Mytilus edulis: one gene and its partner. The protein of the gene in region 1 purifies or fractionates together with the protein of each later gene. This does not show direct contact. Links are inferred from orthologs where the notes say so. Each region holds a gene or a part of one and is shown in the gene's direction. Other genes may lie near its edges.

What was found.
Region 2: the proteins of DNA ligase 3-like (region 1) and bifunctional polynucleotide phosphatase/kinase-like purify together in Homo sapiens (co-immunoprecipitation; 5 studies listed by BioGRID and IntAct, with this or other methods). This does not show direct contact. The link is inferred for Mytilus edulis from reciprocal best matches to the Homo sapiens genes LIG3 and PNKP.

Annotation. Positions count from the first base shown.
Region 1 is NC_092356.1:45,822,959-45,836,192, forward strand, and holds the start of DNA ligase 3-like, read left to right. Parts: upstream 1-7,595; 5' UTR 7,596-7,685; intron 7,686-13,234. UniProt on the Homo sapiens protein: Isoform 3 functions as a heterodimer with DNA-repair protein XRCC1 in the nucleus and can correct defective DNA strand-break repair and sister chromatid exchange following treatment with ionizing radiation and alkylating agents.
Region 2 is NC_092348.1:24,552,682-24,566,220, reverse strand, and holds the start of bifunctional polynucleotide phosphatase/kinase-like, read left to right. Parts: upstream 1-7,766; 5' UTR 7,767-7,889; exon of another isoform or gene 7,890-8,061; intron 8,062-8,427; exon of another isoform or gene 8,428-8,446; intron 8,447-12,738; 5' UTR 12,739-12,835; intron 12,836-13,539. Other genes in the region: malonate--CoA ligase ACSF3, mitochondrial-like, read right to left, coding at 281-426, 1,301-1,461, 3,554-3,745, 4,254-4,955. UniProt on the Homo sapiens protein: Plays a key role in the repair of DNA damage, functioning as part of both the non-homologous end-joining (NHEJ) and base excision repair (BER) pathways.

The DNA of each region.
Region 1 (13,234 bases):
CTCATCTTATAAACAAGGAACATGCATATCATGTATTTAGTAAACAATTATCATGCTTTATTTTTATAAATATTTTAGCTGTAATATATTTTACATGTTAGATTTTTATCTATAATTATACATACCGGTATTTATTTCAGGATCTGTTTAAGAATTCGAAAGAAGCATCTGACATAGTAACCCCAAAGAAAGGAAAATCCTCTCCAGGCACATCTACGAAAAAGAAATAGCAAAACTAATGGTGCCACTGTCAATAGTGAGAAACACATCATCACATGTTTGCTAGAATAATAAGCATTGGACGATAGGGAAAGTAATGGCATAGGTCCAGCCTCAACCGAAAAGAGAGGACTGTTTGAAAACGTAGATTTGTGTGGTATCAAATGAAGTTCAAGAGTTTAAGAACAGCTCTGTTTTGCAGACATACTTGGTCAAATTTAAAATGGAATAATGAATGATTTGTTATGAATAATTGATAATGCTTTGGATGGTGATTTTTGATTGGAATGGATAAACAATATTAAAAATTATGAAAAATCTGATTTGTTGGAATACATCATGTGTCATTTTAATACATACAGTTGTCATATTTTGAATCAATAATTTTTATTGCAAGATCTCCTCTGAAATAGCTAGTATTAGTCTTGAGCATCTGAGATGATAATGGTTCCACAAATAGCAGCTGTGTGCACTATTATCTGTATGATATATAGATATATAGGAAGATGTTGTATGTGTGCCAATGAGACAAATCTCCATCCAAGTAAAAATTTATAAAAGTAAACCATTTTAAGTCAAGGTACATCCTTCAACACGGAGTCTTGGCTCAAATGGAACAGCAAGCTATAAAGGGCCCCAAACATGACTAGTGTAAAACCATTCAAACAGGAAAACCAATGGTCTAATCTATATAAAAAGGAGAAATGAGAAACATGTATGAACTACATAAACAGAAGACAACTACTGTACATCAGATTCCTGACTTAGGACAGGTGCACTATGCAACTTTTTGCAGTCAGTTCTCAATTTTTATTCCCTGTAAATACAGAAGAAAAATGCCAATTAGATACACATTTTGTCAATCAGTCTTTTTATAGCAGTTAAAACCAGACTCCAAATAAAGAAGTATACTGGTTTACATCTGTTTGTTCAAAGTTCAAATTTGATACCTGAATTTATATCTCATAGAAAATGTGCATTCTTATTGTTATACAAACTGACCATTTTTTTGCCTACATTTTGATCCAATTGAAAAGTTGCTTGATAGGTTTCTAATGACAATATCTATTTCCAATGGAAGGTACATTTTATGATCACTTCTGATCAATGAAGTGTTCATTGGAATACAAACACACTTGGCCAAGACTTTCACCTAATGTTTGATTACTAAGTCTTGAGAAATAAAAATACCAGAGTTTATATACTTCATAGAAACATAGCAAAAGAGAACAATATTTTAGGCTCACCGTATAAGCTATTAGCATCATTTAGAATCTATAGTTGTCTTTCATCATCTAACAGGTTCTAAAAAGACATCAGGACATTCAATTGATGAATAACCTGGGGGACAAGGCAGAAGATCATTACTGGCTTATTGTTTATTGCATATAGGATTAGACTGAAAGAACTGTTTAGTCCCTTTGACTGCCATAATATAAAAAAAAGAAGATGTGGTATGATTGCCAGTGAGACAACTCTCCACAAGTGACCAAAATGACACAGAAATTAACAACTATAGGTCACTGTACCACCTTCAACAATTAGCAAACCCCTTACCGTATAGTCAGCTATAAAAGGCCCTGAAATGACCATGTAAAACAAATCAAAATGAGAAAACTAACAGCCTTATTTATGTACAAAAAAATGAACGTGCCAAAAATAGTGTATTTCCAATTATGTTATAGTTTAGAATTTCTACTGCCAAATTTTACATCCAAAAAATAAAATAAGAGGATAATCAAACAATTCTCTAATTACCTGTAACTAGAGGCTCTCAAGAGCCTGTGTCGCTCACCTGTTAATGTGTTTTCAGATGTTGGCCATCTTCGTTAGTAGGCGGGGTCATTAGACACTTTTAAAAAAAAAAGATACCCTAGTATTATGATTGTGGCCAAGTTTGGTTAAATTTGGCCAAGTAGTTTTAGAAATGATTTTTATACAAGTTACAAAAATGACGAAAAGTTGTTCAATATTGACTATAAAGGGCAATAACTCCTTAAGGGGTCCTCTAACAATTTTGATCATGCTGACTTATTTGTAGATCTTACTTTGCTGAACATTATTGCTGTTTACAGTTTATCTCTATCTATAATAGTATTCAAGATAATAACCAAAAACTGCAAAATTTCCTTAAAATCACCAATTTTAGGGCAGCAACCCGACAACAGGTTGTCCGATTCAATTGAAAATTTGTGAGGGGATATATCTTATTCTGATGGACATTAAAATCTTGAAAGATTTGCCCTAAATGTCTTAGTTTCAAAGATATAAAGCAATTTTACCACTATGTTCTACCGGTAATTTTAGCCATGTCGGCCATTTTGTTTGGTAGGCTGGGTCATCGTACACATTTTATAAATTGTAAAACACAATGATAATTGTGGCCAAGTTTGGTTAAATTTGGCAAAGTAGTTTCAGAGAAGAAGATTTTTAGAAAAGTAACAAAAAATGACGAAAAGTTGTTAAAAATTTACTATAAAGGGCAATAACTCCTTAAAGGGTCGACTGACCATTTTGGTCATGTTGACTTATTTGTAGGTCTTACTTTGCTGAACATTATTGCTGTTTACAGTTTATCTCTATCTATAATAGTATTCAAGATAATAACCAAAAACTGCAAAATTTCCTTAAAATAACCATTTCAGAGGCAGCAACCCAACAACAGGTTGTCCGATTCGTCTGAAAATTTCAGGGCAGATAGATCTTGACCTGATCAACAAATTTACCCCGTCAGATTTGCTCTAAATGCTTTGGTTTTTGAGTTATAAGCCAAAAACTGCATTTTACCCCTATGTTCTATTTTTAGCCATGGCGGCCATCTTGGTAGGTTTGACGGGTCACGCCACACATTTTTTAAACTAGATACCCCAAGGATGATTGTGGCCAAGTTTGGTAGAATTTGGCCAAGTAGTTTCAGAGGAGAAGATTTTTGTAAAAGTTTACAGACGACGGACGCCAAGTGATGAGAAAAGCTCACTTGACCTTTCAGGTCAGGTGAGCTAAAAAGGAGCTGGGCTAAAGGAACATTAAAACTCACAAGTTAGAAATAAAAGGACAATGGCATGGCTAAAAAGAATCTGTAAACAAAGCAAATCCACCAATACACATTTTATACTGCAACTTGTTGTGCTAATTTCCTAAATATAGTAACATAGCTATATTTTGTATAATGTCAATTTCATCATGGAACACTTTCTCCACAATTAGGGGTCCATTAAGTGATGAAAATAAGTTTGACATTTGTGTTACGATTTAAAAAGCTCTCATGCAGTGTAATAATTTATGTTGCAGCATAAAAACAATATTAGGTCAATTTCATAAAAGTATAAAAAAATGTTTTACTCATGCAAAACTGGAGAAGGGCAGGGCTGCCAAGTCTCAGGCATTTAGCGTTAGACTCAAGCATGTTTATGATTTTTTGGTGGAATTTTACTTTGATCTATTGTTTTTTCTCTTTGATCTTTTCAATTTTGGCCAAATCTCATGCCCGCATTTGCTTCATGAAAAGTTGACATAACTGGGAGGGCTCGGTAGAACCTTGCCTTTTCCCAGTTTCTCAGTCTCATACAAAACAGTTTATATTTTCCTGACATTGACCTAATATTGTATATATCTGGTTTACCAACTCCAGAAGCAGTTATACACTTATTTTGTCTAACAGTATATATGCAGATCTAAAGCTTGCTGCACCTCAAGAAAGTGGAAAATTACATAAAGACGACGAGGAATTGAAAACAACAAAAAGTATAACAGCTGGTTTATTGTTAACAAAGCTGTCTTCTTGAAAAAAAGTTGTGTGTTCCATATTTGTACGAATTTTAAATAAGTTAGTCTGAAACACAATGGAAAAACAAAAAGTCAACAATTCTGGCCAGACTGAGTTATAAACAAGAGATGACAATATTAATGTTGCTTTCTTTAATTTTTTCTTGGTGGAATATATAATTTTGTCAAACGTCATCCCAATATGCTGGTTTTATTTAAAATTTTACTGCGACGTGACCAAAGCTTAGTATTGCGGTTTACCTTTGCCTGCTGGTCAACCAGATTGTAAAATTGATTATATGATTGGAACATTTAAATTTACCAGTTGTAATTAATTTTTCCCAAAATATTTTTTTTTTCTCACATGAATTATATTAAATATATTTGTCTTATCAAAACCTAGCTTTTTGTGTTCTGCTAAGGGAGCCAGAGGCCCCCCTTTTCTGTGAAAAATTTGGTTGATTATACAGGGAATCACTGGAATGGGCCCCCTCTTAGGCAGTCAGTGGGTCCCCACTAATGAAAATTTCGATATCCACCACTGGGAGCAACCATTTAACTTCAAGGGGGTTTATGTTTTATTTTTAGTCAGAATTTTTTTCACGATCAATTAGATTATTTTTTCAAAATTTTACACTATACTTAAGGTATGTAGGGAATTGGCATTCAGAATATTTTTTTTTACAAATTTAAACAAAAACCCCACTAGAAGTTAAATTGTTGTTTCCTAAGTAGAGTTTACATTTTAATTTAAAAGCAGTGTTGACAATATTTATGAGACCATCAGAGCTCATACGAAACACTCCTGCAGATTTCAAACCTTCCATCATAAAAAAACTCGTAGAATGCCCTCAATTGCATTGGAGACCTTTGATATAATTAATAAAAAATGTCCTTTATTTATTCAAGATTTAGTTGTAATAAAAAACAATTCATATAATTTCAGGTATGTGAATGATAACTGAGGTACCTAGACCTAGAATCTCAAGTTATGGTAAAAGATCCTTTAGATTTGAGGCAGCACAAGTATGGAACTCCATTCCTAATGAGGCTAGACTCATGACTTCTTTTGACCAGTTTAGGAATTATATAAATTCCTGGTGTGGGGGTCAAAAATGTAACAGCAGTTCATGTCGTTTCCATCCAGTGCTGTCTCAAAGCTGAAATTTCTTTCTTTCTTTTTATAATGGCCTTTTGCTCTGCTTTTATGCATTTATTGAATGTATCTGCCACTAAATGCTAGTGCTTACATTTATTTATTTATTGTTTTTATGCTTTTAGTCTGTTATTATGCTTCAAATGATGCTTGTCATGCTGAGCTTGGTAGAATTCCACTCAAAAATAAAATTGTTTTTTCAAGCATAAATTTTTTAGAGCATATACTTTCATCAGAAAATACACTTGTAAATCAAAATTTCTGTTCCACAAGATTTTAAAACCCCTGTATCCTTAAAACTTCGTGCATTTTACACAAATTAGGATATTCATATCTTGTTGATTCACTAAACAATTTAAATGATAGAGCAGCAATATGCAAAATATGCACAAGTGCACATCCTTTAATGATTGAAAGGGGAAGACATCTAATTAATATTCCTAGAGAGGAAAGATTATAACTGTCCTGTCTGTAAAAATTGGGAAAATGAGGATGAAAAACATTTCTTATTAAAATGTAATAGATTTACCTCAAAGCGAGAAATATTGGAAAATAAAATAAATGTTATATTTCAAATACAGCGTAACATTACCATTGATGAAAAAATATCTCTATTGGTTAATAATAGCTCAGCATTATTACTAGACTGTCTTCCTCTTTCATATCAGAGTGTCTTAATATAAGAAATAGTGATCTTATATGATACATCATTTTGTAACTTTTCATAATAGCATGATATGTTATCATGGAACCTTTCATTCTACCATGTCAATTATTATAGTTATATGTAATGGCATAGGTCATAACCATTTATTGTTAATGAGTTTGTGCCAATAAAAATATTTGTATTTGTATTATTTAATGATTTTCAAGTGATTTGCCGACTCCCCTGTTCAATGCACATAGAGGCGCTTGCCAAATGAACTTTGACTCGGGAGGCTCACAGATCAAATATATTTGCTTCCATTATACTTGCATGCTTTTTTCATTTTTATTTGATAGTATTTGCATGAAGCTGCATGATTTGTTTATGTGATAGTGTAAAGCAAAATTAAATCCGGGTGAAATTTGATCCGGAGGAAAAAATGTCACAGTAGTTGTTGTTATTTTTTTATCCGGTGGAATATATTTCCCTGGGATCTTTTTTCCTTTGCCGTGAAATTCTATCTGGGTAGTTATCTTATTGAATAGTTATTAGAAAAAACTTATCCTTTAAAAATACTATGAAATAATAATAGTGTATTTGAAATAAAGCGAAATTGTTAAAAAAAATGTATTATAATGGGAAATAATTTCACAAATTATCCGTGAAAAAATTTCCTGAAATATTCAAGTCAATATCATCCTTTTAAAAAAAAAATTATCATGAAACATAGGGAAGAAAACCAGAAGTAATTTCAAAGATCCTTATTGTGAAAATAATATCATGATTAAATAAGGTTAGTGAAATACATGTAAAAGTGAGTTGTTTTCAGATCTCAGTACAAATATAAATTTAAAAGTAAGGTAGAAATATAGTTGCATTACTACTGTTAACAGTAATAGAAGAATTTGATTATGATGATATTTTTAACTATATAAATAGTTTTGTCTGGGGACAGAGATGTAGTTGTTGATTATATGGAAATCAGATAAATCATAGCATAACAATATATTTGAACAAAAGCATGTTTAACAGCTGGATAGTTTTTACCTGTGAAATGTTATCTGTCTTATTAAATCAAGTTGTAAGTCAACTTTTTATATAAATAAATATATAAAAAAATAAGATTCAAGGACAAACACTATAAAATAGATTCAGAAATGTATTATATTAATATCTTTAAAATATAAATTGCTCATAATTATCTCCCTTTGATAAATTATGCAAATTTGGTCTACCTTTGTGAAACATTTTATAATTATAGTCAGGTATATCAGGGGGATGGGGCTATGGTTTTTTTTTGGAAAAAAAAGTTTGTTTCCAGTTTTTGGAGAAAAAAATAATTTGTTTTTGATTCTGAGAAAAAAAAAATGTTTGTTTCACCCTCAGCTGCCACTATATGTAATGCTAAAATTGAAAGAAAAAAATTGTTTTCGACTTGTCGCGAAAAAAATAGATTGTTTTTCACAAATATATACCGGTACATACTATCCGCATAACACAGATAGATTTTCACTCCTCTGGAAAAAATCAACCTGTGAAATACCATGCCTGGAAAAAAATTACCGGGACAAATTATCCACAGGATAAAATATCCCATAGGAAGAAATAAACCGTTACAATAGTCGGTTAAAGAGCTCACCAGAGCTCATGTTTTGTCTGTTATTGTGTATATATATGACGACTCTGAATAAAATTGTCTTACTTACTTACTTTCTTACTTACTAACACTACTATGTAAATTTCCCTTAATATCTTGTGAGATTTGGGTAGATTCTCGGGATTGCACTCAGGTTTTTATAACTTTTCGCTCTCCTTTTTAAAGATAAATTTGTCTGTTTACATTGTTTTGAAAAATCGCAAACCTCTGCAAAATTGTTTTGTGTTGTGTTGAAATTTCAAGTAAGAATTCAAAAAACAAATCCCCAGCCGTCAAAAACAGGCGTGTCATCCTGCATGCATCATTGTATTTTTTGCAAAATGTTTGTGCGAAAAGAATGTGTTCCAATGACAAGAACTGCCACTTCGGCACTTGGTTGAAAACTTTTTACATTGCGTATTATTTTTTTTCCATAATTTTTCTTAGTCAACTTTTACATATTATACCCCAGACCGTGTAAAGAGTAGGTATCGGACTCCTGAGTCTCTGATCCTTTATATCTGGCTTTGTAGAATCTAACACTAGCAATTCATAGTTTATTATAATAAATTACAATTATTAATTAAGCAAATATCAACAATATTATAAAGATAAAAGTATTCAAATGTAAATAATTTAAAACTCTCATAAAAGTGACAAAATATGGCGAGGTCTGTGCAGCAAGACTGAAGATAGACATTTTGTTCTATATATCAGGTTGGGAACAAACCCTCTATATCAGTTGAACGGCAAACGATTTAATGGCTTCTAAGTTCAAGACATTGGTCACGTGATAAAAGGTCAGAGTTTACGATTTTTTTGTAAACGTGCATGCCTCGTGGTTTTTAGACTCGTATCGTCTTATTTGTACTCGTACATTAATAAAAACCAAAGTGTTCAATTCTAGATTGAATAAGCTTTCTTATTTTATATAATTATAATAAAAAAGTATTGTTAAAATGTTATAAATTCACGAGCAAAGTGAAACTTTTTTTCGGAAAATTTGCGTAGGTCCACGGAAAATCCTTAATAAATCCTTAAATAGGTTTGGTAACGTGTTGAGAGGTATAAAATATGAAGTAAAACCATTTTTTGCTCCTAATATTACAATATCAGATCACAAAAACCCCGGATACGCAATTCTGTCAGATTATTCGTGGCGAAGCGGAGATCAAAGGGAGATAACTCGGTACGCGCATCGTAGGAAATTGCAAGTTCACAATAGTAAATATGAGTAAAATTAATGATTGCAGATCTATTTCGACGAGTTCTTGAATACCGTTCAATATTCCATGTTCCTCTACTGTTAAACATTAAAATAGTCATGGAAGTTCAAGTTCTTACAGGTTTTTGAACACTTCCAAAGAAGACACTTACCAACATTTTATATCAGACTGACTCTCTGAAACTTGAATATATTGTATATATTCTCAAACACCCTTTTAGTAGATACAAGGATACAAGATGGGTTTATCAGTCATTTGTCAGAAGAACCTGTGTAACAATAGAAGCAGAAGCAGAAGATTACATTTAAACAAAAATATGGGGGAAAAAAGGAAATACATGTATATAGTCTTCAAAATTGTTACCATTACCATAGATTGAAAATAAAATCAATCTGAAGTAGCCAGAAGTACATGTACAATTTTTGTTTTATTATAGCTGCTTTAAGATACAGTTGCAGATGATGATGATTGGAACCTCCTCTTTTTATGGCAGATTAATGCATTTGAATGGGATCATGCATATAGTTGGAACCCTCCTTTTTATCCTTAGTTGAGAATACCACCACTTATGTTTAAAATTTTCTGGATTCACCCTGAGATAAGAAACTACATAAGTTGTACAAGTTCTGTTGCTTGCCTTAATCAAGAGAAAAAATCTGAACATTCAAAGAACCAGAAAGGGATTTAAAACATAATAATCAACACAAAGATCACTGAACAAAAGCTGTATTGTAATCTGATATATCCTGCAGTTATCATAAATCCTGTTATATGTATAAATATTTGAAGTTTTGCTTTATATTTTTTCTTCTTTCTTATATTTGAATTCAAAAGTCCTGCAACCAACTGTTAAGTGCTTGATAATCAATTATTGATTGGATAATAACATCAGCTGACCAGTAAATAAAATTTGAAAATGCTTAGTTGAAATAAAATAGTGGTATTATGTCATTAGATATACTGAATCAACTTCAAATTTAATCCAAATTCACATTTACCTGCACTAAAATGCATAGTCAATTGAACTACAAAAACCTGAGACTACTTCAATGTATAACATAGAGATTGTGGTCACCTCCCATGTTATAGTAGTCTTAAACAAAAACAAAACTGACTTCACTTAAATACAGTATGTTCAGAATTTTTTTGAAAAAGGACAAAGTTCAAAAAGAAATTTATTATTCTGATATCAGAAATAATCTCATAGTATCAAAGCAGAATGTCAGTTCTTTTAATTGAGATAACCAGTTTAATCACATTATTTACTTTTATAAAAAAAAATGATATCTGGATTTACAATCATTGACTAAGCTTGTCATCAACTCACTTACTTTACAAATGCTTTTAAAAGTTAACCTGTCAGTACTAAAATAAATAATTGTGGTATAAGACAAGATATTTTATTCAAATTAAAGGGCATATGAAGAGCAAAGTAATGTACATGTATTACAATGATTTATATATGTGTATATATAATGGATCAATGATGTTGATATAAATCAGATAAATATGGAGATAACCAACTCCATTCTTAGATTTTAAACCACAGCTAGTTCAGAGCCACACATATATTTGAAAAGGCATATAATAATTATATCTTCAATTAACAGGCAAATGTTTCCAAATGCCCAATTTAAACATTATCTGTACTCTCTATATATATTGATAACTTTCTGAGTTCAAACCATTTATTTTAAATTGCAACACAGTCACTTTTCAATGCCTCTAGGTTTTCTTGAATAAAAAGCCAATTAGATTTGTCACTTGTGCTTAACTTTTCACAACTTTTTTTTAACTTATTATTATATTATAATTAAATTCTTTTCTTAAAAACTTATAAAGGGGAAACTGACATTTATGGTATAGTTGCCAATGACATAACAGCCTGGAAACTTATCACCAGAGTCCAAGTCTCTGTTAGCAGTGACAGTTAAATTACAAGTCACTTGACATACATCAACAATTAATACATTCCATTGTTTTAAGGCAAATGAGGAAAATAAGAGTAACAAAAGCTTTTGCCTTACTACATGCACAAGAGAATATTAGAAATTATAATATAAATTAGAAAATATCAGAGGCAAAAAAGACAGGACTTAGCCACTGGACTTTTAGTAAAGTACCCTTACTAACCCTTAGAGGAGCTGCTGTATACTAGAAAAAATTATATTGATGATTTGACCCCATCAATCAGCATTTTAGCATTACATTATTGTCAATTGCTATCTGCTCTATTTGTTCCAACCTGTCATGAGAGTCAAAATGTATTCCTAGGGTGGGAATTAAACCCATGTACGTTCATTTAATTTATTGTTCTTTGTGTACACAAAATGTACATGTCCATGAAATATATCAAATGCAAAAAATGCTGTAATGTATCATTACACCCTCATTAGTTAAGGACCAAGTAAAAGAAGTCCCTGCACCTACCTAGACGTATTTCTTGGGTAAGATTTATTATATAACTATTGAAAGTATAACACCATAAAGGTTATTGGTAAGTATATAGTAACATCAACGTGCAATTCAAGTAAACAAACTGTCAAACATAAACAATCTACCACGTGTTTGCTGTGCTTGACTCATCAGGCTTATTTACACGAATTTTTGCTCAAGCAGACTGTTAAATATGTCCGTTTACGTTATGGGGTCTGTTAAGAATGTATTTGCTGTTATAAATTGTGTATGCATGGAAATATAAGGAAGATAACATTGATTTTTACCGTAACTTTTGAATACACAACATTCCCAAGGTATCCCCACAAAACACATGGCTACTTTGTAACGACGGCTGGTAACGTGTAGCCACTTTCTAACGGCAAATGCCATTGGATGATCTTCAAAGATCAATAATAAAATTGCTAATAAATGATTGGATACGAAATTCTGTCAGATTATAAATAGGTGAAAAAATGTAAACATTGAAATCCGCCATCTTGACGTAGGAAACAAACTAATTTTCAGTCTTGGATTAAAGGACATTGCGCACATTGCCAGCGTATCATGCATAAACAGTCATCTGCAAATATATCTTTCAATTTGTGTTTTACACTTACTTTTCTATGTTTTAGTTAATTTAATGTTTTAATTTACTACAGAATGGGACATCGTTCTCAAAGATGCCATAGAAAAAATTATAGGTGGCGCTGTTTGTGGGCGTAAACATTTTACATACGGGTTCTTTTTTTGTCGACAAATTGACCTCTATCTGTCAGATTCAGGCGTTTGCCTTCCAACTGTATATGGTGATTATACCTGTATAGAGGGATAATCCTTCTATAGAGGGGTAAATGTATCCCTCTATAGAGGGGTATTTTTGTTTAGACTGGATTTAAATCAAAATAGGGCAGAATGGCATTCTCTACTTATTATGGCAGTAACCTGGAACAGTTGATGCACCAATTGATGTACTTAATTTAATATGCACATGCCCAGTTTGATGCTTATCTCAGGCATGTGTCTTAAACTTGCTAGTTTATCACCAGGTAATTGCCAATACTCTTTTATTGCTGTATATACAGTCTAATCCTTAACACCTTCATAGATAACTCGAGGCTATTTACCTTTTGACATCAAAACAGTTAAAGGAAACTTCCGTTTTTCTCGGACTTTTTCGATCTAAATTTCGAGTTTCTCGGACTTTTTCTCTGTCAGTATAAATTTTGTAAACAAAAATTTCTACTGAAAATTTTTCGAGGTTGACATTTTGAAAAAGCGGAAGATTTCAAATTTTAACGGGAGGGACGGAAGAGGGTCTTAAAAGCGGGAGATTTTGACTCCCGCCGGAAGAATCACATGTATGTTATCTGACTAAATATAAAATCTATTGTTCACCATGATTGAAAGCTGTGATGATCAGGTAAATTCTACTCACTTATGCCTCATTGAACAGAATTTCTATTGTTAGATTTAACATGAAATTTAAAGGTCAACTATTCCTTTTGTTGTTGATCAGGTGTTCAGATAGGTATACAATAGATTGCAAGTTTTGTCACTTTAGCAGAAAACTGGTTATCCCAATTTTTAGTAAAGTGCATATGTTGATGCATATAATGCTAGAGATTATAGCCAATATAACTAGAAAATGCCATTCTGCCCTAATTTGCTTTAAATCCAGTGCAAACGAAAATATCCCTCTATAGAGGGATAATTTTATCACTCTAAAGAAGGATTATCCCTCTATACAGGTATAATCACCATCCAGGGGGTTTGTTCCCAACCTGTATATGGACCATAATTTGCTATTGGGCTCGTTTCCTATAACGATAGAAAAGTGATAAAAATGTGTATTACTGTAAGAAAAGTTGTAACTACATCTAAAGATGCCTTTATTTTTATCAACATACAAGTGTATGCTACTCTTCCCTAGAAAAAAAATTGAAATTAACAAATTTCAAAGATTATACGACAGTATTTTTGTGTCGTTTCTCGCGTTACTTTTCGCTTCCGAAGTGCATAACGCTGACTGATTTATAGATAATCGTCACCGGCAAATTTGTAACTTTTGCTTTCAAATAATAAAGAACATCGACTAATAAGAATAGTCAGAAGAAAATGCCGAGAACTATAAGTATTTCAGTAGCAGG
Region 2 (13,539 bases), on another chromosome or scaffold:
GAAAAACTACTACCCTCATATGTCAAATGACTTTATTTTCTGCTTAGAAATGAGATGTAGGGATAATAAAGTAAAATTATACTAAATGTGAATTATTTATTTTGAAACTTGCATTGATCATATAACCTAAAATAATCCATGAAATTTGGAATCCCACAAATATTGATGAATCCAAAGTTTTTATTTGGGTCAATCTAATATTTGAGAAAAATAAAAATATACAAACTTAAGCATGCACTTGGTATGAAGTATTTTATACTACCTATTTAAGTAACTTTACCAGGAATTCGTTCTCCATGTAATGGATTCGTGAGCACCATGCCCAGCTCAGTCATCCCATATCTCTCCAGTAATGTATGTCCACTAATCACCTTCCACTTGTCCATAATTGTCCTTGGTAAGGCAGCTGACCCTGATACCATTAACCTAAACAAAACTTAGACTGTAAACTGAGACGTTTTCATACAATTCAACTATTAATTGTCAAGTTTGCAACAAAATAAGATTTTTTATACAAACAAATTTGCATTGTAATTTTTTTGTACCTTATTTGTATGCAAAAATTCCTGAAATTATAATAACTAACTTGCATTTTTGTCCCTTGTTAATTTAATTTGAGATTAATCAAAAATTCCTGAATTTACAGCAAAATCATGATGACAAGATCTACAAATATGTTAGTCCGAGATTACTCTGACCGGCCCCAGCTTGTCTGGCAAAACAGCCGTTGGACGTCAGAGTAATCTCGGACTAGAAATATGTCAAACAGACTGAAATCATCATCTGACTGTTTAGAGTTATTGCACAGGCACTTGTTTCTATCAATGTGGAGTTTACTATCAACACCCGTAGGAAGGTGTCATTCTACTCCTTTAACAATGTGTAAGGATTATAGCCCTTTATTGATGATTTTTACCCATTTGGAAAAGTAGAAAATTGTTCAAAGCAAAATTGATTGTTAATGAGACAAATATCAAAATGATGTTAATTAAACCAGCTATACATGAGGTCACTGTACATTCTTCAATCATGAGCACATTCTTCAATCATGAGCACATTCTTCAATCATGAGCAATCACATAACCTAATGTTAGCTATAAAAAGGCCCAACATGACAAAATGTGTAAACTTTATTGTTTTATAAATTGTTCTAAAAGGGACTTGAATCACTGTATTTTAAACCATAAAAATAAAGACATGTTCATCTTTTAATCTTCCATCTAAATGGTCTTATGTTCTTAAATTGGAAGCTAAAAACAAACATATTTAGTAAGAATTATGAGACAGGAAAGTTTAATACCTTATATTTTCTAGTGAGGCAGACAGGAACTGAGAAGCTAGTTGGTTCTCCTCTTCACTTTTTTCATAGTATTCTATCAACTTGGCATAAATTGTTGGCACAGCCATAAAAATAGTGATGTCTATCCCTGTCTTTCTTTTCACTGCAAGTTTCTCCCAAACCTAAAACAAATAACATGATGATTGAGTTGATACAAATCAATGACAGCGAGTCCAATTTTTCATTACATTTATGATAAAAACTAATTTATATAAAATGAGTCTTTCTATTGGAAAAAATTTCCAAATAGAAATAATGCATTTTGCTTTCATTCTTTTGGTCAAACAAATAGCCAGAAATCTTGAGTCTTGTATTAAATAAAAAATGTCCATTTACATTTTCAGTTCCCTTTATCATGCTGTCCAAGCAATCAAATTGGTATAGATTGTATTTTAGTTCACCAGGTTTAACATATCTTTCTTCGTTTGATTGTATAATGTTTATTCATGTAAAATTGAGAATGGAAATGGGGAATGTGTCAAAGAGACAACAACCCGACCAAAATAAAAAACAACAGCAGAGGGTCACCAACAGGTCTTCAATGTAGCGAGAAATTCCCGCACCCGGAGGCGTCCATCAGCTGGCCCCTAAACAAATATATACTGGTCCAGTGATAATGAACGCCATACTAATTTCCAAATTGTACACAAGAAACTAAAATTAAAATAATACAAGACTAACAAAGGCCAGAGGCTCCTGAGATCTCAACCCTCCCCCTATACCTCTAACCAATGTAGAAAAGTAAACGCATAACAATACGCACATTCAAATTCAGTTCAATTAAACTGACTGAAAGATATATGAACATCAGGCACAATCCTTCCCGTTAGGGGTTTAGTATCATACCATCATAACATATATGAGAAGAACATAACCTGTGTCATGCCAACAACTGTTTTTAGAATAAATGTGTTTAGTTCCGATGCAAAGACCTTATCAGCCAAAATATGCAATCTTTAATGACTTGACAACAGTATCGTAATTATATCCCTTCTTAATAAGTCTATTCAAAGGTTTTGTAAGTTTCTGAGGTGAATACTGACACCTTTGTGCTTTATAAAGAATATTTCCATAAAAAATTGGATGTGAAATACCTGAACGTATTAGAAGTCTGCATGTTGAGCTATATTTACGAATGATGTCTTTATACCGATGATAAAATTTAGTAAATGTTTTGACTAGTTTGTGATATCGAAAACCCTGGTGTAATAATTTTTCAGTAATACATAAATTTCTCTCGTTAAAATCTAAAACATTGTTACATACACGAGCGAATCGTACAAGTTGAGATATATAAACACCGTAAGATGGTGACAAGGGAACGTCACCATCTAAAAACGGATAGTTAACGATAGGAAATGAAAAATCATTGTCATGTACATGTATGTAAACATGGTTAATGAGACATAATTATCTTATACTGAATTGTTTTCATTTTAGGTAAACTTTCTATTTCCAAATTATCCAGTCACAACATTTAAACTGTATCCAAAAGGATAAAATGTATTTTTACAACAGTTCAAGATGTTTCTTACAAAAAAAGTTGATGCTTTTTCATATTTCTGAAGACAGTATGAAACTCTAACTACTCATGTGTAATGTTTTACTTTATCAAACTCAATGTATAATTAACATTGTTCCACTTGCCAGCTGGTGTTGTACCTGTTCAATACCCATCATATGAATGGCAACACATGCATACAATACATTGAGATCTCACAAAACATGTTTAACCCCACCTCATTTTTGCACCTGTCACAAGTCAGGAGCCTCTGGCCTTGGTAGGCCTATATATTTTTTTAAATTTTAGTTCATATATATTTTTTTAAGTTTACTATGGAGTCCATTTTCACTGAACTAGTACACATTTTTGGTTTTGGGTCAGCTAAGGCCCACCTCAGGTGCTGGATTTTCTTACTGCGTTGAAGACCCTTTGCAATACACCTTATCGCTAATCCCTGCTGACCCGGCCACTTGAACTTTTGACGCATACAACAATCACTTTTCCATTGTGATGTCAGATATTTTGTTTTATGACGTCAAAATTTTACGGGAACCTGTGTGATATGCAGTAATGGCGGACAAATGGTGATAAGGGGTATTGGTGGCCTTTGGCTGTTATCTGCTCTTTGGTCAGGTTGTTGTCTTCTTGACATATTCCCCAATTCCATTCTCAATTTTAAAATATAGTTTTAAGACTGAAAGCTTTCTTACCACTTTTTCATCAAACTTGGGCAACATAACACATGTTGCCCCACAGTATAATGGTACCATTAATGCATTAACTACACCATGCACATGATGCAAGGGTAATACATGTAATATCACATCGTTAGACGTCCATTCCCAAGCTGACATCATTCCTGTAATGTTACAGTGAATATTTCCAAATGTCAGTACCACACCCTGAAACAAAAATGCACAATATTAAGTTCTTATCATGCTTATCAACCATTTAACTAGAAAAAACATATCAAGGGTAACAAATCACTAAAAGAATTTTAATTTCTTTTAAAAAAAAAAAATCAGTTGAATTAATAATTAATAACAATAATTTGCAGCATCAAATCTCCCCAACAAGGAAAGAGAGACAACTCTAACATTACAAGTAAACCTTTTGATTATTGTCAGGATTGTAGGAGGAATACATCAGTTGAAGGAATAATTCAGTTCTCGCAGTTTCCTGTCTCTCAACAAACATATAACTAAATTTTAATGCCTTCGTGTATACTGTTTTTATGGTAATTTTTTGGTTAATCACAGATTCACAGTTAACATGGTTAAGAGTCTAGTCATTGTTAACATATGGTCCATGTAAACTATTTTTTTTTACCAACATCAATTTTTTCACTCAAGTCGGGAAGCAAGAAACAAATACATATTTTTTGGGCTTATAACTATTTATTCTATGTACCTTAGGTCTCCCTGTGGTTCCACTAGTATATATAATCAAGCTTGACTGGTTTTTATAGCGGTTATGTTTGACCAGATTTTTACAATCTAAACTTGTTTGTCTATCAATAAACCAAGCATTCTGATCAGCTTCATAATATCCAGTATAGTTTTCCTTCTCTAATACTCTGAGTGGAATGCTTAATTTTTTTGTTATAGGTTCTATTTTATAAAGGTGGTCTGCTGTGGTTAAAACTATTGAACATTGTGCATCTTGGATAACATATTCTAATTCATTTTGTGGATGACTTTTACAAAGTGGAACTGCCACACCTCCTGCCATCCATGTGGCCCATTGTGCCACAACATAAGATACATCATTGTCACATAGGAATGCCACATGGGTATTTTCTGGAAGAGTTTTATGCTTGCTATTACCATTGACTTGATCTATAATTTCCTGTGAAAGTGTTTTACTATAATGTAAAAGATCCTGGTATTTAAAGCTACCATGTTGGTCTATTATCGCAACTTTGTTTGGATACTTCTCTGCCTGAAGAAAGACAGGCTGTGGCAGATCTTGTGTGGCTTGGACACTGTAATACCTGTGAAAACATCTTCTACAAATATTTGAGCTTATTGTCTTCGTTACTTGTGACACAGATGTAAGTGATCTGAATGAACCACTGATCTTCACAATAGAATAAATTCTTCTGACTAACATCCTGAAAAAATATATATATATAATATACAGTATAAAGTAATAACATGCTAATCATGTAGGATTTATCACACATGTACATGTATATATGGTCCGAGTACACAGTTATCGTCCTTTGATTTTCGTTGTCCACGAATATAGTCCTTAGTGTGGACAGTGTGTTACTTGCCAATTTTTGTTATACCCCTTCCAAATTTATTTTTCCATGTTTTATGCCTCATATAGCAAGTTGGTGGTTGGAATGACACTGTAAAAAAATTTGGGTCATAAATATTAATGTAAAGTAGTGATTAGGTCCAGCTTAAAAAGGTCCAAAATTAGCACTTCGGAAGCTGTCAAAAGATTTCAAGACCCCCTTAACATAAAATTGTCCATATTTTGAGTTAGAGCTGATGGAGTTTTCTATTATTTTGATATAATTTGTCCCAAAAGTAGTACAACACACTGTAAAAATATTATTGAGAAAGCGCAGGTGGGATTTTTTTAATTTTCATTTATTGTCTAAAAGAAATGCACTACAAAATAACTGTGTACTCGGACCATATATGAATAACCATGATAACAAAATAAAGTATTGTGCTTTAATACTAAACTTGTGTTTTTTTTTATATTCTAAATTGGGGCCACTTAATACATGGAACTTGCTGTTCCGTCTGAGCCAAGGCTCTGTGTTAATGGCCGTATTTTGACCTATAATTGTTTACTTTTTACACATTGTGACTTAGATCATGTACATAGAGAGTTGTCTCATTGGCACTCATCATGCTCATAGTCATAGAGTCATACCAAATCTTCTTATTTCTATTAATATGACAGATAGTTTTTGCATATATGTGGAACGAGGTGAAGTTCACTACTGTGTCTCGTAAGTCTTTATAGGCTGGGTATTGATCCTTTTTTTTATGATGTTGCTATGCATTTTAATGTAGATCAATATTTGACACTTTAATAAACTATTATTTATCTTATCTTATCTTATCTTTACTACATGTAGCTAGCCATTATAAAATTCACACCCAGGCTGATAACCCATATCAGCCATATGTAACTTCACATGGTCAGGCCTCAGGCTGATATGGGGTTATCAGCATGGGTACATTCATATTTCAATACCATATTTACTAGTACATGTACATTTGTATATGATATATTAAAATGAGACTTGGTCTTTTCTAATCCAAATAATTAATAATTATTTGGATCATAATTTATAATGACTATGCCTTTTCCATATTGCCATTATCAGCCTTTGTAAATCAAATTTTGACCCATATTTTAGCCCTCAACTAATATCACAGGTTGATATATAAAAAAGAAGATGTGGTATGATTGCCAACAAGACAACTCTACACAAGATACAATGTATGCAGGTTTCAGGATGATACCCTGGCGGATATGGAAAAGGCCATCTATCATTTCTATCAATCTGTATATAAAAATCATCTATAAGAACACTGGAAAATATTATACAAAAGGGTGGTAAAGGATTATTTTCGTGCAACATTTTCAGACTTATTATTGCATATGTTTTCGTATTTTTACATTTTATTTCTCGTGTTTGGTTTGATCATGTTGATGTGTGTGCTTCATTTTTCGCCTTATTTTTATCCCGTGTTTCGTGTTCGTACTCTTTATTTATTCTTGTTTGTCCTGCATTTGACTCCAAGGTAAACCAGACTAATCTATAGGCGGCCTGGATATTGTCTTTGTATGGTAGGCAATAAAATACATGAAATTGCTATTAATAATCATGATAATATATGTTTCAAATCAGATGCAACTAACAGACGCTAAAAGTTGACAACAGGGGTCTTCATTTCTATTAATAATGACAGCATGATCTCCTAAATTGACTGAGTCATAACTTCTAAAAAAATATCATTAATATTAACGATTTTGTTTCTGGTGCTTCATTTTTACAAATTTTTATTTTCTATGCAATGTTTTGGCAATTTTTATTTCACATGTTTCCATGTTCACAAACCCCCTTTACCATGTTTACCACCCTCATATAATTTATATGATGAATACATCATTGACATGATTGATTAGTCCAAATAATTATGACGTCTGGAACTTAAGTTTATTTTTTTTCCTGTGACGCCTTACTACAAATGTACATCGTAGGTCTCATAGGAAGGCACCACAGAAAAAAAAGAAAAAAAGTATGTTTTTTTTTTTTATAGTTTAAGAGTATGTGTTTATTTAATGACTACATTCAATCACCATGTTCAATACACAATATAAGATGATTATGATTGGTTGTTTTTTTTAAAGGGGGGGGGGGGGTTACGCCCATCACGTCCCCACCTTCTTCTCTTCTTTTAGTTTCCGCACTCCATCATAATATTGATGACTATGTGCCGTGCACCTGGACCCGCCCCTGGTGGTATTGTACTCGGAAATCATCAATATCTGCATACTGAATGTCCTTAGATGTATGAATGTGCCTATATGAGAGCAAGGATTTGTTTAGTAAGACTTTCTATAACTTGAGTATAAGATGAGAATGAATGGGTTTTTTTTAGTTCTGGAGTCAGCTTTCATGAGTATGAATATGACTGATGTCTCAGTGATGGAATACCAACAAGATTTTACCTAGAAACAAGAACATCTAAGCAAGTGTTGTGTATGAGAGTATGCAGCAAAAAACGTTTTCAGCAATTTTTGGTGCTCCACATATTGACATTCATGGGGGCAGCCATATTGGATTATTCCATTTGTCATTCATTTAGATTTTAGAATAGTATTAAATATGTTGGTTTTATAAATAGCAAGTGTGAAAAATGTTACAGCTGAAAAACACTCTTTTATATTCCTTTAACTCTGTCCATAAAAGTATCAAAAATATCGGTATCAATACAAATGGACCAGCCTGGATTGAAAGGGGAGATAACTCAACTTGGTGATGTGGACCATGTGAAGAAGTTTTTATAAGTAAATACGAAAATGTAGATTCTGTGCCCACATTTGTTTGCATGCTATATTTAAGAAAGAAAATGCATATCAAGAGAACCAATCAAATTTAACAAAGTACGCCTTTCCACGAAAAATGGCACATTTTCTAAATATTTGTCATTTTGCAGTTTTGATACAGGTAGTTTTGCAGGTAGGGTGACTATGGACCATTATTGATCACACTTAAAAAATGAGTTAATAAATTGCAAATTCAATGAGATTAAAATCTAAAAAATCCTTGTTCTTGCTCTTTTTCTTCCCGCATTTAAAACAGCTCCATACATACTTGGATCACAGGGCATGATCATGAGGGGTTTGTTACAAATTTGCTGGGTTTACTAGCTATCCATACGAACCCCCAAAAAATCAATAAGCATGATAAGTTTTAAGCAAGAAATGAACTAAACATTGCTCAGTCACCAATTCAAGTATAAACTTTACAAATTAAAAATTTAAGCATATATCCAATAATTAGTGAATTCAGATCAGGAGTTGCCAAACAACCAACATGCTTTACCAGAGTGATATTTTAACTTTATATATCCAGGTTCATTCAGGACTTCATTTTTCATTCAGTAGGTCCGACGTTTGTCACAAAGTGCAGGTTCCAGACTTGGGACACCACAAAAATTGTGACGGGGTTATCGTAGTTTAAAGACACCAAACCTTTGTCTGAATTATTTATTTCTATGGTATATTATGTCTCTTTGACTGATAAGTTTTGACATCCGAGTTTTGATTATTCTTTGGTATCTTCCGTCTTTTTTTACTTGTATCAGTTTTGCGTACCATATTATAGTATCTTCCGTCAATAAAAATTAGTAAGATGTGGTGTGATACCAATGAGACAGATCACTACAAGAGACCAAATTACATCGAACATGAAAAGTTATCAACCATATTTTTCGTCTATGTTTATTATTTTCGTTTCAAAAAAAATGTGGAATTTTAGGCTCATTCAGAATTTTAATTTTCCGTTCAGGTCCGAGTTTTGACACCCCAACAATATTTTTCACATATTTTTTTTTTATCATGTTTATGTTATCATTATATTGAACTTTTTGTTTCTCGAAATCAAAAGTTGAAAGATATCTATTGAATATTAAAAAAGTTATTGTAGTTAGAATTAGTCCGACATAGATTTTCAGGTCCCTTCAGGTCTTCATTTCTCCGTTCAGGTCCAACTTTTGGAATCGAAAAATTGATTTTTAATTTCAAACATTTAAATTTTAATGAAATATGAATATTTACAATTAATAAAATTACAACTTGAAGAAATTCCATCCAATAATAAAAAAGTTATTGCAATTTGAATAATTTTAGTCGTATATTTTCAGGTCTTTTCAGGTCCACTTTCAGATCTTTAGTGTAACCCCTACTGTATAACATATGACCTCCGGGGCATTATTTACTATTTCTATTTACTGTTCTGATGTTTTTTTTTAATATCAATGTGCAACCCGCATTAGACAAAAAATAAAAAATGAAAATATCAGCATGAAAACGTTAAATAGTGAATATATGTAATGCGAAGGCATATATTATAGGAATAATTAACAAATAATTACTGGACATTTTAGATTTGCACAAGTAATTTTTTTAACTATGAGGCTCCAACTTTCCATTAAAAAAATAACTCTGCAATGGAAACACTGTAAAAGAGTATGTGTTTTCTTTCTTATACTGCATGCATGTATATATTTTTTTCTGACTAACAATGCAAGACTTTTATTAATTTTGTGAAAATGCATGCATCTGTGTTGTGATCAAGTACATGTAGATTTAAACAAACAAGCTAACAACATGAACAAAGTGAACTCTGCTGACATGGCAGGCATGCATGGTTGTTGAATAAATGCTTTCTTTTGCATGACTGTGTACTTATTCATGTTATTTGTTTTACTAACTAATTGTACATCAGTCATGTCAGTGTTCCAGCTAGGCCGTTTTCAGAGGGCGCCCGCCCCTTTCCCGAGTGCCGCCTTGTGCCCTTTTTACAGTTTCCAGGGATCCCTGCCTTTTTTGAAGATCGATTGTATATATATTATTTTGTTCGTATTGATATGATCCGCTAATTACTAAATTTTACAATTGTTTAGTTTATGTACAGATTATTCAAAAACAACAATAAAAAATATAGCTCACTGATGAGCTAAAAAAGATATTTCAATTTTAATGCCAAAAAATGGCATTTTTGCACCAAGGGGAGATAATTTGGAGCTTTTTCAATGATATCTACATTTTAAAAGTCCGCTGGGGCCAACACGAATTGATTTTTTTGGAATGATTTTTGTACCATATGATAAAGTAACAGCTACTTGAGGTAATCAATAAAATTGTAATGAAAAATTAATGTTTAAAAAATTTTTCTGAAAATCTTATACCCTCGAGCCTCCTTAAATAGGATCAGTCAGTCGGCAATTATCTTTGAAGAAATGTGCATACGACAACTTGGGCAAAATTTGCAATGTTTACCGTAGTTTCATGGAGAAAACGTAATGACAGAAAGTTGAAAACCACAATCAAGTCATGGAAGACATCGTTTTACTTGTTCTCTGTGAAATAAATAGCAAATTCATTGACTGCCCTCATTTTTTATACGAAAATAACAAAGTCGGCCGCAATATAATAGACAACTTTCGAGTTCGATACATTTCCGTCAAAAACTCTGGTTTTAGTGTACGTCAATTGTGCATTTAGGGGTGTCGTCACTTCCATTCCAATGTTGAGCGAGCGGTTGGGAAACTATAATTCTATATTGTACGAATTATTTGGCAAATTGAATTTTCAAAATTGACAATCAGCACTGCTGTCATCAGGGAATTGTCATTAAGTATCTACAGAACAACCATTATTTCTAGTTTATCCTGCACAATGATGATCACTAAGACGCTTGATGGACGTAAATAGTGCAGGGATACAGGCAACCCCCTATATCTGGTAAATGATGTCATAAAGGCGCACATAATTTACAATATTTTTCCGGTGACGGATGAACTCGAAAGTGGTCTATTGTTTGATAATTTTTACATAGATTTTCTAAGTACTGTTTATAATCCTCCAAAGAAGGAGCACATGAATAAAGAAAGATAACTCAATCTGATTTTTTTCCCTAGCATTGAGTAAACCACTTAACATATATTCTAAAATATGTCTACATACTTCTTGCTTAAGAATATATATGTTTAGGTAGTTTGAGTTAAATGGGAAAAGTCAAAGAGGGTCTTAGTAGCAGTGTTAGTAGGGTGCCTTGGTCATCTGTTTCTGTTTTCTTTATTTTTAATACAAATTTTCACTGTTGCTATATCCTAATTTATATAACATTGTGCATTTACTGGGCACAGCTGTTTTGTGTTGTATTGCCATTAAGCACAGCATAGGTAGAAAGGTGAAACTGGTAAGGTGTGTCAGAACATAGAAACAGAATGAAGCAGGACACTTTTCTAAACATGCTGCATATAAAGCTTAAATGTGCCAAGCAATGATTTAAAAACTTGTGTGACAAGCTGCTTGACAAGTTTTTCAGCCTAAAAAGTAGAAAGATAGAGTTCTAGAATCATATTCAAAACAGTGTAGCTGTGGCCATTGATTGACAACCTTAAATTATCCCATTGACTGGGGCAGATTATGTGAACGTTTGTCTGTAACAACCGCTGCTCACTATGTACTTGTTAAAGGCACTTAAACTGTGGGGTCACAAAAGGTTCTAAACACCTAAATAAAGAAATTAGAAAAACTAATCAGGAATAACACGAAGTTTTGATTTATATCAATAATATAAATCAAAACATAAAGTTATTCCTGATTAATTTTTCGAACTATTTTAAAATTAAAGGCGTTAAGAACCTTTGGTGACCCCACAGTTTCAATTCTATAATAAGTAAGTAGTGAGCAGTTGTCCTTACAGACACACGTTCACCTAATCTGCCCCAGTCAATGGGATAATTTAAGGTTGTCAATCAATGGCCACAGCTACACTGTTTTGAATATGATTCTATGTGGGCTAATGATGTAGTTCTTGTATAACCAATGATTTCAAGGAATAAACACAATGTTTGATTAATATCTTTATAAAAACATGCCCTTTTCATATTATCATAAATTAAATGCCCTTTTTCAGGATTGGCACCCTGCCCTTTTGAAATCCTAGCTGGAACACTGTACATTGAATGTATTTATTTAAATATCAAATTGTAAAAGGTAGAATTACAAGTATAACAAAACCAAACACAAGGAAAAATCAAATTTGAAATTCCCTTTTCAAATGACAAAATTAAAAGTTCAAACACATCAAATAAATGGAACACATGCATGACTTGGTACACATGTACTGGCAATTCCTTATGTAGAAAATATTGGATTAAACCTGGTTTTAAATGTATAATTCTAACTTCTACATTGTACAACAATGTCACTATTATGTGAGAGCAAAAACAAACAGACAAAATTTAAACAACAAATGAACAATTGATGGCCATAAGTTTGGCTAATTTTAATTAAAGGATCAAGGAATTATACTGCCTACACCATGGTCTACTGGCATGACTGGCCTAAGTGAAAAAAATTATTTGAGGATATTGGGCAACTGAAATGATTTGTTATGTGACAATATTAATTACATCTGTTAATACTCACAATATTCTGATTAATACAAACCTTGTAATAATTTCTGAATTTACAATGTCAAGGCTCAAAGGTCATCAGGTCAGAGGATAAAATAATAAGTATGGTGTACAACACATCATGGCCTGTCTGTTGCTATGGTCTTTTTAATCAGACTCAGGTTTTATATTGTCATGATTTGACATGATGATTATCTCGATTTTAGATTCTGGTTGGTAAGATGGTGTGTTAGAGGATTATGGGTAAGAAAGATGCAGCTGGCGTAAGGGCAGGTCCAGTAGACCAGTATAGAAAACAGATAGGTAAATGATTGACAATGTTATAGTATTGTCATGATTGTCATGATCATAATAGTTTTGTCTGTATGTACAAAATTAGACAGTCGACACACGACACATGTTTGGTATTATGAAAGCATAATAATCATGATAATAATAATCCCTACACAAAACTTTAAAAAAAAAAACCTGAAAAGCCAGGACATTGGTTTACAACAATGAAACTGGTACCAACATGACCAAGGAAAATTACATTGTCAGACAGTCAGATTGCTGACAGCAAATTAAATAAGTATCTAGTCTTTTAACATTCATCAATTTTCATGTTAATGATATTGAAATCATTAAACTATTAAAAATTGGTGGCTGTGCTTCTGTCATTGTCTGTTGTAGAAAGATATACTGTATTTGTTATACATGTTATATATAATACATCATTATGTTTGTGTACTTGTATATGTAGTATGCTATTTATATTAAAAGTCAATTTATTTCCATTCAAAGTGCCCTAATATAATTTAACATGTTCTATTTAAATGATTAAAGTCAGTTAAAAAAAATTGGGTCAATTGTCATTTGTCGGACATGTTATTTTTCAGCAATCCTTAATTTTTAAATTTTCAAAGAAACTTCATGCTTAAACAAATGATAAATGCTAACTCTTGCCATTGAAATCTGTGTTTTTAAATTTGATTTAGGACAAAAATTCAGAACTAGCATATTAAAAG